Linked DNA regions of Ovis aries. The protein of the gene in region 3 binds, or shares a complex with, the protein of the main gene of each other region. Links are inferred from orthologs where the notes say so. Each region holds a gene or a part of one and is shown on either strand. Other genes may lie near its edges.

Evidence for each region.
Region 1: the proteins of PAK4 (region 3) and INKA1 are in contact, whole or in part, in a crystal structure (PDB 4XBU), measured with the Homo sapiens proteins. The link is inferred for Ovis aries from reciprocal best matches to the Homo sapiens genes PAK4 and INKA1. Residues at the interface, in NP_001014831.1 of Homo sapiens: Ser331, Gln358, Arg359, Glu361, Leu362, Thr404, Asp440, Lys442, Ser443, Asp444, Phe461, Leu475, Val476, Gly477, Thr478, Pro479, Tyr480, Trp481, Met482, Arg489, Glu507, Glu512, Phe516, Asn517, Glu518, Pro519, Pro520, Met524; in NP_976248.2 of Homo sapiens: Gly178, Arg179, Ser180, Arg181, Gln182, Pro183, Leu184, Val185, Leu186, Gly187, Asp188, Asn189, Cys190.
Region 2: the proteins of PAK4 (region 3) and ITGB5 are in contact, whole or in part, in a crystal structure (PDB 7S46), measured with the Homo sapiens proteins. The link is inferred for Ovis aries from reciprocal best matches to the Homo sapiens genes PAK4 and ITGB5. Residues at the interface, in NP_001014831.1 of Homo sapiens: Gly330, Ser331, Gln358, Arg359, Leu362, Thr404, Lys442, Ser443, Asp444, Asp458, Phe461, Leu475, Val476, Gly477, Thr478, Pro479, Tyr480, Trp481, Met482, Glu507, Glu512, Phe516, Asn517, Glu518, Pro519, Pro520, Met524; in NP_002204.2 of Homo sapiens: Ser762, Arg763, Ala764, Arg765, Tyr766, Glu767, Met768, Ala769, Ser770.

The regions. Positions count from the first base shown.
Region 1 is NC_056072.1:50,476,862-50,480,322, reverse strand, and holds INKA1 (PAK4-inhibitor INKA1), read left to right. Parts: upstream 1-1,233; 5' UTR 1,234-1,347; coding exon 1,348-1,398; intron 1,399-2,116; coding exon 2,117-2,917; 3' UTR 2,918-2,961; downstream 2,962-3,461. Other genes in the region: UBA7 (ubiquitin-like modifier-activating enzyme 7), read right to left, coding at 3,242-3,353. UniProt on the Homo sapiens protein: Inhibitor of the serine/threonine-protein kinase PAK4. Acts by binding PAK4 in a substrate-like manner, inhibiting the protein kinase activity.
Region 2 is NC_056054.1:190,163,977-190,168,263, reverse strand, and holds the start of ITGB5 (integrin beta-5), read left to right. Parts: upstream 1-1,487; 5' UTR 1,488-1,889; coding exon 1,890-1,959; exon of another isoform or gene 1,960-4,287.
Region 3 is NC_056067.1:48,257,968-48,261,467, reverse strand, and holds part of PAK4 (serine/threonine-protein kinase PAK 4), read right to left. Parts: intron 1,421-3,500; coding exon 1,287-1,420; intron 1,062-1,286; coding exon 935-1,061; intron 1-934. UniProt on the Homo sapiens protein: Serine/threonine-protein kinase that plays a role in a variety of different signaling pathways including cytoskeleton regulation, cell adhesion turnover, cell migration, growth, proliferation or cell survival.

The DNA of each region.
Region 1 (3,461 bases), on a different chromosome or scaffold from region 3:
TGGTTGATTCGTACCAGTTCCATCCAATCAGTAGTTCAGCCTGGAAGTCTAGGAGTCATGCTTCTCTTTGTCTTCCCATACTCATGTATCAGCAAGGCTTGATTTTAACTCCAAAACATACCTCAAAGTATGTTTGCTCTAGACCTACCCAGATCCAGGCCCTCCCTTCCCTTGATGGATGAGGCAGGAGCCTCCACTCTTGACAGCAGAGTGGTTCTCCCAAAGCAGCGATTATCTAAACAGCAGCCAGCCCAGGTCATTACCTGCTCAAAAGCCCTCTAGCGCTCCCCACCACACCAAAAACAAAACCCTTTATTCCCTTCTAAAATGGCTAGGAGCCTGGTTTTGCTGACCTCTTCAGTCCTCTCCCCCTCCCCTCAACTACCACCATGAGAAATATCTAGGCCTTCCCTGGTATTTTCCTGTCTACTGACTTATCTAGTTTGTCTCCAGTTAGTCTGTGTCGTTGAACCTAGCCCTAGCCACCTCAGGGAACGGCTCTAATCCTTTGGTCAAAGAACTCCCTGCGGTAATCCCCTGCATTCACTCAGCCTGCCTGTAGTCCGGGATAGACAGGATGCGGGTGTTGGGAATCCCCACGAGAGGGCAGCCCTGCTTAGCTCGGCCGAGGCAAGAGACACGGGAGTGGGAGGCTGGGCCTCGGCCGGGGCTCCTCTCCGGTGCTGCAGCGAGGTTCTGCGCTCCCTGAATCCTCGGAGGGGCCGGACCCCTCCCATGACTTCCAGGGACGGTGGAGGCCAGCTCCAGGAGCGGATTCAGTGGGTCGGACCACGAGAGGGCCACAGCACTGCCGAACCCGACGATTGGGCCCGATCTACCCGCTCAAGGGCGCAGCCGCGGTACCCGTGACCTCCAGAGACCCCGGCGGGAGGGACCACAAATTTCCCCTGGGAATAAATGAGGAAACTGAGGCTGCCGCAGGGGTGCGACTTGTCCTGGGAGTCAGCTCAACGGCCCGGGACTACGGGGACTCCCGGGCCGGATCCCGCCAGGTTTCCAGCTACAGTCCCGCCCTTCCCCATAAGAGCTGCTTCTAAGGAGTGGGTAGTGGGCGTCAGGCTCGCCCACCCGGCAGGGCCCCGGGGGTGGAGCCACACCAGCCCCGCCCCAGCCCCATTGGCTGAGGCGCCAGGGGCGGGGCGGGGCCGCCAGATGTTGGGGCGGCGGCGGCGGCGGCGGAGGCAGCAAGAGCTGGGGAGAGGGAGGAGCCGCGGAGCCAGGCGGAGGGCAAGGGCGCCGCTGGCCGGCCCCCCGGGCCCTCTCCGCGCCGCTCTTGCTGGAGTTTGAAGAGGAACTGGCAGGCCTGGAGGGGGCTGCGGCACGGACATGCACAGCGCTCGGCTTGACAGTTTCCTGGGCCAGCTGCGCTGGGAACTGGTGAGGCTTGGGGGCGGGCGTGGCTCGTGAGGACTAGTGTGGGGTGCTCGGCTGCCTTCCTACCCGAACGACACTCGGATGGGGGGGAGCTGTCCCGAGTGCCCATCCAAGAGAGGATGGGGGCGGGGCGGCGTAGATGGCCCAGATGGCCCGCGTCGGGTTTCGGACGATTGGGAGCTGCGCTGGGCATCAAGTAACAGCCGCCCAGCTGGCCGTGCTGCTGGCGCAACGCAGGAAGTTGTGGGGGAGAAACTTCTTGGGCAGAACAGGGGCTTTTACGGAACGAAAAAGGTGGTGGGGCTACTACTGATGCCCCTTATTCCAGGCTGGCGTGTACCTCTTGTCTTCCTGGAAGGTGCTCTTTTCTTCTCTGAAAGAGGCTGCGGGCTTTGGGGAGCTGAATCCCTCAAGAGGCACAGGGTTCCCCCCCAGCCCTGAGCAAGACCTACTTCCCCATGCAGGCCCACAACCCTGCCTCCCGCCCTGGTGGCGGGTACCAACTTGCCCGGCTCTGCGTGCTGCAGCCTGCCGGACTGCCATCAGGTCGGCCAATGGGAGCCACACGAGCTTCGTGTGCCAGCGCCCCATGCCGACCTGGTGCCCGCTAGAGGCCTTGCTGCTGAGGCCTCCTGGGCCTTCTGTTTTGGAACTGGCCTGATCAGGCAGGGCGGAGTGACCAGCACTGCTCCTACCACTTCTGCCCTCTCTTCTTCCACAGCTGTGTGGCCGGGACACTGGCTCACCCCCAATGCCTGGTCCCCTTCCGCCACCCCCCAAACACCGCCCAGGCGTGCGGCTCAAGCACCAGCTCAGGGCCTCAGATGCGTTGGAAGAGGACTCGGTCTGTGGTGTGGAGGAAGAGGATGACGAAGTAGGGGTGACAGGAGACAGGAGTGCAGCCTTTGGGGGCCCCAGGGAGCACGGCCTGGACTGGGACTCTGGCTTCTCAGAGGTGTCGGGCAGCACATGGAGAGAGGAAGAGCTGCCCGTACCCCAGCACCCAGCAGCCTCGGCATGGCCCCCCCGGAGACAGCGCCTCTCAACCAGTGGTGTTGCCCAGCCTAGCGGAGCGCCCATGGCCCGGGTACCACCTGTCCACCGACCACGGCCCAAGTCCACCCCAGATGCCTGCCTGGAGCACTGGCGGGGGCTAGAAGCCGAGGACTGGACCACAGCCCTGCTGAGCAGGGGTCGTAGTCGCCAGCCCCTGGTGCTGGGGGACAATTGCTTTGCGGACTTGGTGCACAACTGGATGGAGCTGCCCGAGGCAGCGGGTGAGGGGGACAATGGGGGTGGGCCCCGTGCGCGTGCTCGGCCCCCCCAGTTCCTGCTGGGCCTCTCTGAGCAGCTGCGGCGCCAGCTAGCCAGGGCGCGCCGGGCAGCACTGGCAGGAAAGCGACTGTCATGCCCACCTCGCCCAGAACCCGAACTACCTGCGGATGTCTCACGCTTTGCAGCCCTCATGAGTTGCCGCAGTCGGCAGCCCATCATTTGCAATGATGTTGTCAGCTACCTCTGACCCTGCCCTCCAGCCTGGGACAATAAAGGCCTTTCTCTGGACAATCCTGGTTCTGTACCCCTCGAGGCTCCAGGAGGCAGCGCCAGCCCTGCAAGGCACAACTCAGGCAGGCGAATCAAAAGAGCCTTTTCCCTCCCCTGCAGGGGTCCTTGTCACGCCTGTGTCACACGCCATGTGTCTGCTCCATCACCCGTCCTGTCCACTGAACACCTTCCTTCAACAAGTGTTTATTGAGTGTCTGCTGTGGGCTTGGGACGCAGGGCTCGGGACGCAGGGCTCAGGATGCAGGGCCCGATGGAGCTGGGCGGTGGGGCTGCTGCCTTGTCACAGCTTGTAGTGCAAGCGTGGAAAGTTAGTGTCATACTCCTCGCCCTCATAGCCAAGTTCCAATACCAGCACCCGCTGCCCAGGCTCCTTCTTCACCAGCTCTGTCACCCTGGCGTGGGGGGAGGGGGTGGGGAGATTGGATAGGTGAGTGGTGACACAGAGTGTCCTGGCATGGGCTCCAGGGTGCTGGGGGGCCAGAAGGAGCCCAAGCTAGGAG
Region 2 (4,287 bases), on a different chromosome or scaffold from region 3:
TTAACAGACAAATCTTTGAAAATCACCACTCGGCACTGACACCTCTCAGTTCAAACTCTTTTACTGGCTGCCCATTAATTATAATCATTGCCTCTCAAGCTTGGATAAGAGTAGCCCCAAGGTCATTCAGCTGAGATAAACCCGGAGAAGCTCCAGCAGCACCAGTTTTACTGGAAAAAGTTTAAGGACAAGCATGACTCTTACATCAGAATAAACACTGGGAACATTTAGAGTACAGTGATATTTACATGCAATTTATGGTTGAAATCCTCTTTCAAGTGGAACTTGGAGCTTGGCTTCTATGCACACTGTACCACAAGAATAAATTGACTTCCTCTGGCATCAGGCCACCACCTTGGTAGAATGTGGGGTGGGAGGGCACAATTAAACTCCAAACTCCCTAATCTGGTTAGTTAGAACTGCTCCCCCTCCCCCTCCCTCCCCAGAGCCATCTGTCCGACTGGTTCCTGACCTGCAAAGGTCATATCACTTTGTTTTTTTTTGCTGCTTCTGCTTCTAGTCAGAGGCACTCTGAACTTTTGGACAAGGCATCCAGCTCTGTCGCTTTTGGCACGTTAACCCTTTGCCTCAGTCTTCTCACCTGGTTAACAGCAGAGTTGTGGGAGAGGATTTCAAGAGTTAACAGGGTATTTACATTTCAGCGTCTGGCTAGCCGTGTGCTCTTTCTGCTCTACGTGTTAGGCTGCTCTACTGCTACCTCCTTGTACGTGAAGACCGCCTCTTCTCTGGCCTACAAACCATTCCGGTCTTAACCCCCTCAACGCGGCACAGCCCAAGCCCACCTGGCCCTTTGCACATGCTGTTAAGAGAAGCTCCCCACCCCATCCCTTACAGTCAATTTTAGAACCAGCTCAGATATTAAGAATAAGGTGAAAGGCTGAGCATCTGTTTTTAATTTGTTTCTCTTTACGGAAACCGCCAGCGTACCGAGATAGGAGAAACGCATAATAGCGACATATTGACCAATCTCAAATCCGCGTTAAGGGGCAAAACTTGAAAGAGAGGAGAGTGTGTTTCAGGTGTGCCTCCACGCCCCACGTTCCCCATGGAGCGACTCTCCTCACGGTAACACGCGCCGGAGGCGGGTAACACGCGCCGGTGCCTTCGCCTCTCGGGTGAGCGCTGCTTTGGGAAGGAAGACCAGACTGCCGCTGCACGGTTCCCCCAGCCCCCTTAAATTCAGCAACCCCAAGTAATCTCTGCTCTCGGATGGAGCGTGACCTGCCGCCTTCCCGAAGGCCCACGCTGCTAGGAAAGCCCGGCAGACCCCACCCCGGGATTTAGACCCCCGCTCCGGCCTCCAGGTGCGCCGGAAGCGACTTCCACCTGGATGCCCTCGGCCTCGCGTTTCGGGCCGGTCCCCGCGAGGGGCGGAGCTCGGCCCGCCCCGCCTCGCCGTCAGCGGACCGTGTGGCAGCCGGGCGGGGGCCGGGAAGGGGAGAGAAGGGGAGGAGTGAGGAGAGGAGGAAAGTGGAGCCCGGCGGGCCGGAGCGAGGAAAGGAAGGGAAGGGGTGGAGGCGACTGGCAAGAGTTTGCCGGCGCGCGGGGGAGCCTCGGCCCGGGACGCGTCGCGGAGCCAGAGTCGCGGCCGCAGCGCGGAGCCTGCTGTCCCGCCTCTGCCCAGACCGCCCGCCGGGGCTGTCCCGAGCGGCGACACCCCGGGCGTCCCAGCCGGCGAGCCGGCGCAGCGGCGGCCCCGGGACTCGGCGGCGAGGGCTGCGGGAGGGATGGTGGCGGCGGGGCGCGGGCCAGAGCAGCCGCCCCCGCCTCCCGTCCGGCCGAGGCCCCCGGCCCTCCGCCCCCGCTCCCCGGCCGCACGCCCCCGCGGAGTCCGCAGCCCGCGCAGCCGCTGAGCCGGGCGCCCCACCATGCCGCGGGCCCCCGCGCTCCTGTTCTCCTGCCTCCTCGGGCTTTGCGCGCTCGTGCCCCGGCTCCCAGGTAAGCCACGCCGCCCGCTGTGCAGAAAGAAACTTCGTGGCGCCCCGAGCCGCCCGCCGGCGTCTTGGAGGGGCAGGGGCCAGGGCAATTGTTTGAAGGTGGGAGGCGTCCTCGGGGACACCCCCGAGGGGGGGCTTTCAGACTGCGTGCGCCACCCCGCGCGCGGCCCGCCGCAGCCCCGCTGGGCTGTCGTCGGCCCCCGGTCCCCTCCCGGGCGAGGAGGAGCCTTCCTGTGTAAACAGCCCTGCCCGTCTGCTGACCTAGCCCGCGAGCGCCCGCGCCCAGTGCGCGGGGAGGGCCGCAGTCAGCCCCGCGTCGGGATCTGGACTCTGCAACTCCCGGCACAAAGCGGCCCTTGTGGCCGGCCCCGGGCGGCCGGGCTGCTGGGAGGCGCCGGGTGATGCAGCCGGTGCCCTGATCGCGGGGAGCGAGGGGTAACTGGAGGCGCGTGACCAGGAGCCAAAGCGTGGGGTTCACGGCTACTCTCGAGGGCTAGACTTTTGCAAGCGTGGATGCCCAGGGTTTCCTGGTGAATCCTAGAGTTTCACCCCGTCTAGGCCAGCCGCCTTTCTTTAAAGATGTAAACATCCCTTCCTCCCCCAAGCACCCGCATACCCGAGGGGAGACCCGCTTCCGAAACCACAGCCCCACCTGGGAACCAAGCCCTACCTGGGATCTCGCGATCTACTTCCTTCTGCCTGGCTTTATGTCGGAGCTTACAAACACCCCGTGCAGCGTACTCCCCCTGATTCTGAAGGATTCTGGAGCAGGGGGTGTGCAGTTGCACTCGCGCGATCCTGCTCTGGGCTGGCGGCTGTGTGAGGACCCTCAGTTACCTGCTTTAAGTTTTCAGAGTTGGGAGACTGCTGAGGAAGGATGCTCTGTTGGCGCTGGGGTTGCCAGGCAGAAGGAGCTACCCCCACCCCGTCCCCTCTAAAAGCAGGAAGCTCCAGACTTTCTCTTTTCCGGTAGGAGATAATTGTGTTGAGGTTCTCCGTTCACTTTCAAGCCCCAAATTCGATGGCTGTTCCGAACCATGTGTCTGGCCTAGAGGGAAAGGAGGACGGTCCCCTGCAGAGTTTCATTTACATGAAGGCAGTGAAGGTTGCTGTCTGAGACAGAGGAGAGGTCTAGACAAACAAAAACTTTTTTAGGCGATATTTCAGACTTATTACTGTAACAGGTTTCTTTCATCAGTCCAGAGCTTGGAGTGAATCACTGTTTTCCAAACACCCATCTGGCAACCAGTGCCCATTGCTCATGGGTCCCAGGGAAGGGCAAAGAGAGGGATATAGCCTGTGTTATACACAGGAATATATTATTGCCAACAGCCCCCTGCTTCACAAGGACTGTCCTTTAATTTGAAATTCTTTTTTATTATTAGGAAGACTTAAAAAAATGATTGGTAGTGATAATAGGGTAGTTTTTTGTTTGGAGCAAATGAAAAAACTGGCAATCCTATATAAATTTTACCTTCTCTTTTTGTTTTCTTTTTAAATTATAATCTGTGAAATACAGAAGTGTAGGAACTGCTGAAGGAGATGATTTCTTAGTTTCCTTACAGGTTGACATCCTGGTTCTGAGACAAACTTAAATACTTCCAGTTGCAAATAGTTCTTTCAATCCGTTATTTTCCATTTGCATTGTGATTTCTGCTTTTCAAATTTCATATTTTTGTTTTTAATGATCTCCGTTTTGGGGGTTAGCCCAGGATAGTGAACTGGTTTGCCCACTGTCCTTGTGCATAGGCCTCATAACTTTTTGGTTTAGGGCCCTTTGTCCTGCATGACACAATTTAGGTAGGGAAAAAAGCATTGAGCCCACAGAGGTTTATTTCCAGTGCTGTCTCTTCTCCTGGAATTGTGTTAGAGCTCAGCCATCGCTCCATGGATCAGCAGAACAATGGGAGAGCAAGCCCATCACTGGCTTCCAGACCTGGCCACCTTCCTCTTAATGCCCTGGAGCTTCTCAAGGTTACCAGCGACTGACACATATCTGTGTGATTTCTCCTCGTTTCCCAGTGTTGCTGAGCCAGCTGCAAGTCTGAAACAGCTTTTCTTTTCTCTTCCTTCCCTTGTTTTCTCTTTTTCTTGAAGCACTGCAGGTACTTTATCCAATTTGTGTTCTGCTACTAGGACAGAATTTGACAGAAAAACCTTGATTACCCACTAAGAGAAAAAGGTGACCTGCAGGGTCCTGCCTGCCTGGGTGTCCCTAGATCGGTGGTTAAGTTACCAGTCTATTGCTTTGCACTGCTTTCATCTGTGTGTTTAATCCAGCAGGAAACAGACTTTTAATTTAAGGGGGCTCACTTCAAACAAGTCCCCA
Region 3 (3,500 bases):
CCCTCAGCGGTGTCAGCTGCCCGAGATCACCCATCTGCCTCCTTGACAGGGTCTGTGCTGGGGCTCCCGGGGGAGGCAGCCCGAGTCCCATGAGTACCAGAGGCTGGGCAGGGATTCGGACCGGGCTGGCTCTCCAGGCCGTGCCCGGGGCCCTGGCTTCCCGGCAGGAGGCATGTCTTTAGTTGGCAGGGGGTGAGATGGATGCTGCCTGTCCCTCTGCAACAACCAACTCCTCAGAACCAAGGATTTACACCTTCTTGGGAACTATGGGCCCTACTGAGACTCCCGAGGATGTCAGTGGACCCTCCAGAGAGCACGTTCACACACTGCACATACAGTTCTGTGCTCACCCGTGTGCCCCAAACACGTCTGTAGAATCTTCAGGTGTCCATGACCCCAACCGAGACTCCCTGGGAAGCAAAGCCTTCCCCCAATCCCCCGCCTCTGTGAACTGGCTTAACTTTCCTGGGGGAGGGCAGGCAGATCACCAACCAGAATCTGGTGAAAGTCAAGGGCCCCCTCCCCCTGAAAAATCACATCCGCTCTTGGAATACGAATGCAGGTTCTGGGACCAGGAGGCTTATCCATGGACTGCAAGCTTGGAGCTTCAGTCCAGAAGACAGGACCGGGAGTCCACAGCCCAGTCCTGGACACCAGGCCAGGGGCAGGCTGCCACATGGCCGAGAGCTGTGGCTGGCCACCTGGATGCAATCTCCCCACTCTGGGTCCGGGGCTAGACTCCAGCTCTCAGCAGCTGGGGCTGATGATGGCAGAGCCCCCCACTCACCTGGACCCCTGACTCTGGACTGATGCACGAGGAAGGAATACACGTACTGCTCCTCAAGGGACTGAACTGGGCGCTGGGCCCACCCCACCCACAGGGCGAGAGCTGGGCAGAGGCCAGGGGAGGCCAAGCCACCCCACCACTGCTCACCCTGCCGTCGTGGGTCAGCAGGATGGAGTCACTCTTGATGTCCCGGTGGATGACTCCCTGGGCGTGGAGCACGGACAGGGCCTGCAGCACGGCCAGGCACACAGCAGCGATCTGCTCCTCGTTCATCCTGGGAGGGCAGGGCAGGTGGGGGGGCGCGGAGTGAGTGGGGAAGACAAGGGCCCCATCCTGGGGTCTGATGGGGACACGGCCCCACCCTGGAGGAGTGATGGGGACAGTGTGTTGGTTCTGAGACGTGGCCCCACCCCAAGGGGTCTAGAGGGGAGCAGTCCTGATATGGGCGAGGTCTGGGGACACTCTGGGGACCCAGCAGCGTCCAGCTGCCCGGCTGTACCTGGTGTGCGTGACGATGTCGGTGAGGGCACCTCCCTCCAGGAACTCCATCACCACCCAGAGCTCGTCCCCGACCAGGTAGCTGTTGTACATCTCCACCACGTTCTCATGCTGGTAGTCCCTCATGATCACCACCTGCTTGCGGGAGGCGGGGTTGGCACAGTGCGGGGAGGACCAGCAGTCCCTGCCGCCAGAGCCCGCCCTCTTGGCCTGGGGGGGTGCCCTGCCAAACTGCAGGTCCAGTTCCACCTGCCACTCTTGCTCCTCGGGGTCCAGTCCAGGGACTGTCCTCCCACGGCTGAAGCCAAGAGGCCCAGAGGCAGCGAGGGCCTGATATCTGTGTTCTATTCCGGGGTGCTCCCACCCCATGCACACCTCACACTGCTGACGCTGGCCTCTGGCCAGCCCTGAGTGGGTCTGCGAGCAGCCCTGAGTGGGTCTGCGAGCAGCCCTGATGGCCAGGCTGGCACTGGGAGAGGGCGCTGGGACGAGAGCACTGAGCACAGGGCTGAGACCAGAAGGACAAGCAGGCAGCTCAGACACAAGGCGGGGCTGGGGGTTAGATTCCAGGGGCAGGAAGGCCTATCGAGGCAAAGCCTGGAGGTGGGGACATGACGCTCACCGTGTGCTGCATTGGGGGAAGGGCGACAGGCTCAGGCCTGAGGGGCTGGAGTGGGAATGGGGAGGTTCAGGGCCCCAGCCTGGGGACAAGGGGTGGTGGGGCCTCTCTGAGATGGGGAACCAGGAAAGGCAGGTGTGGGGTCAACAGTGTGGGGCCAGTATTGGACCTGGTGGTGAGGGGCCTGGAAGGCACATAGAGAGTCAGTGGGGCCTGGCCAGGACAGGACGGCATGGCAGTGGGTATCATGGGGACAGAGGACACAGCCTGGGGAGGCGCAAGGAGTGGGGACAGGAGCTGGGCTCGGAACTCACGCCTGGCAAACCCCAGCCCCACAGGACCTCTCCTGGTTCTCAGCCCTGCATGCCCTCCAAACTGTGGGGTAGGGGAGCCCCGGGAGGAGTGGGGCAGCGGCGGGGGGCAGGTGGGGAGGCGGGGAGCCCCGGGAGGAGTGGGGGCAGGTGCGGGGGGCAGGTGGGGAGGCGGGGAGCCCCGGGAGGAGTGGGGCAGCTGCGGGGGGCAGGTAGGGAGGCGGGGAGCCCCGGGAGGAGTGGGGGCAGGTGCGGGGGGCAGGTGGGGAGGCGGGGAGCCCCGGGAGGAGTGGGGCAGCTGCGGGGGGCAGGTGGGGAGGCGGGGAGCCCCGGGAGGAGTGGGGCAGCGGCGGGGGGGCAGGGGGGGAGGCGGGGAGCCCCGGGAGGAGTGGGGCAGCTGCGGGGGGCAGGTGGGGAGGCGGGGAGCCCCGGGAGGAATGGGGGCAGGTACAGGAGCCCTGGGGGAAACAGCGGGCCCTGAGAGGAGCCGGGGGCCCTGGGAGGAGCCGGGGGCAGGGGGGTCCCAGGGGGCGTGGGGTAGTTGGGGGGGGCCCTGGGGGGAGTGGGGCAGGTGGGGGGGTGGGGGAGCCCTGGGGGGAGTGGGGCAGGTGGGGGGTGGGGGAGCCCTGGGGGGAGTGGGGCAGGTGGAGGGGTGGGGGAGCCCTGGGGGGAGTGGGGCAGGTGGAGGGTGGGGGGGCTCTGGGGGGAGTGGGGCAGGTGGGAGAGTGGGGGGGTTCTGGGGGAAGCAGGGGGGCCCAGGAGGAGCACGGGGGGGCAGGGGGGCCCAGGAGGAGCATGGGGGGCAGGGGGCCCAGGAGGAGCACGGGGGGGGGCAGGGGGGCCCAGGAGGAGCACGGGGGGCAGGGGGGCCCAGGAGGAGCACGGGGGGCAGGGGGCCCAGGAGGAGCACGGGGGGGCAGGGGGGCCCAGGAGGAGCACGGGGGGGGCAGGGGGGCCCAGGAGGAGCACGGGGGGGCAGGGGGCCCAGGAGGAGCACGGGGGGCAGGGGGCCCAGGAGGAGCACGGGGGGGCAGGGGGGCCCAGGAGGAGCACGGGGGGGCAGGGGGCCCAGGAGGAGCACGGGGGGGGGCAGGGGGGCCCAGGAGGAGCACGGGGGCCCAGGAGGAGCACGGGGGGGCAGGGGGCCCAGGAGGAGCACGGGGGGGCAGGGGGGCCCAGGAGGAGCACGGGGGGGCAGGGGGGCCCAGGAGGAGCACGGGGGGGCAGGGGGGCCCAGGAGGAGCACGGGGGGGCAGGGGCCCAGGAGGAGCACGGGGGGGCAGGG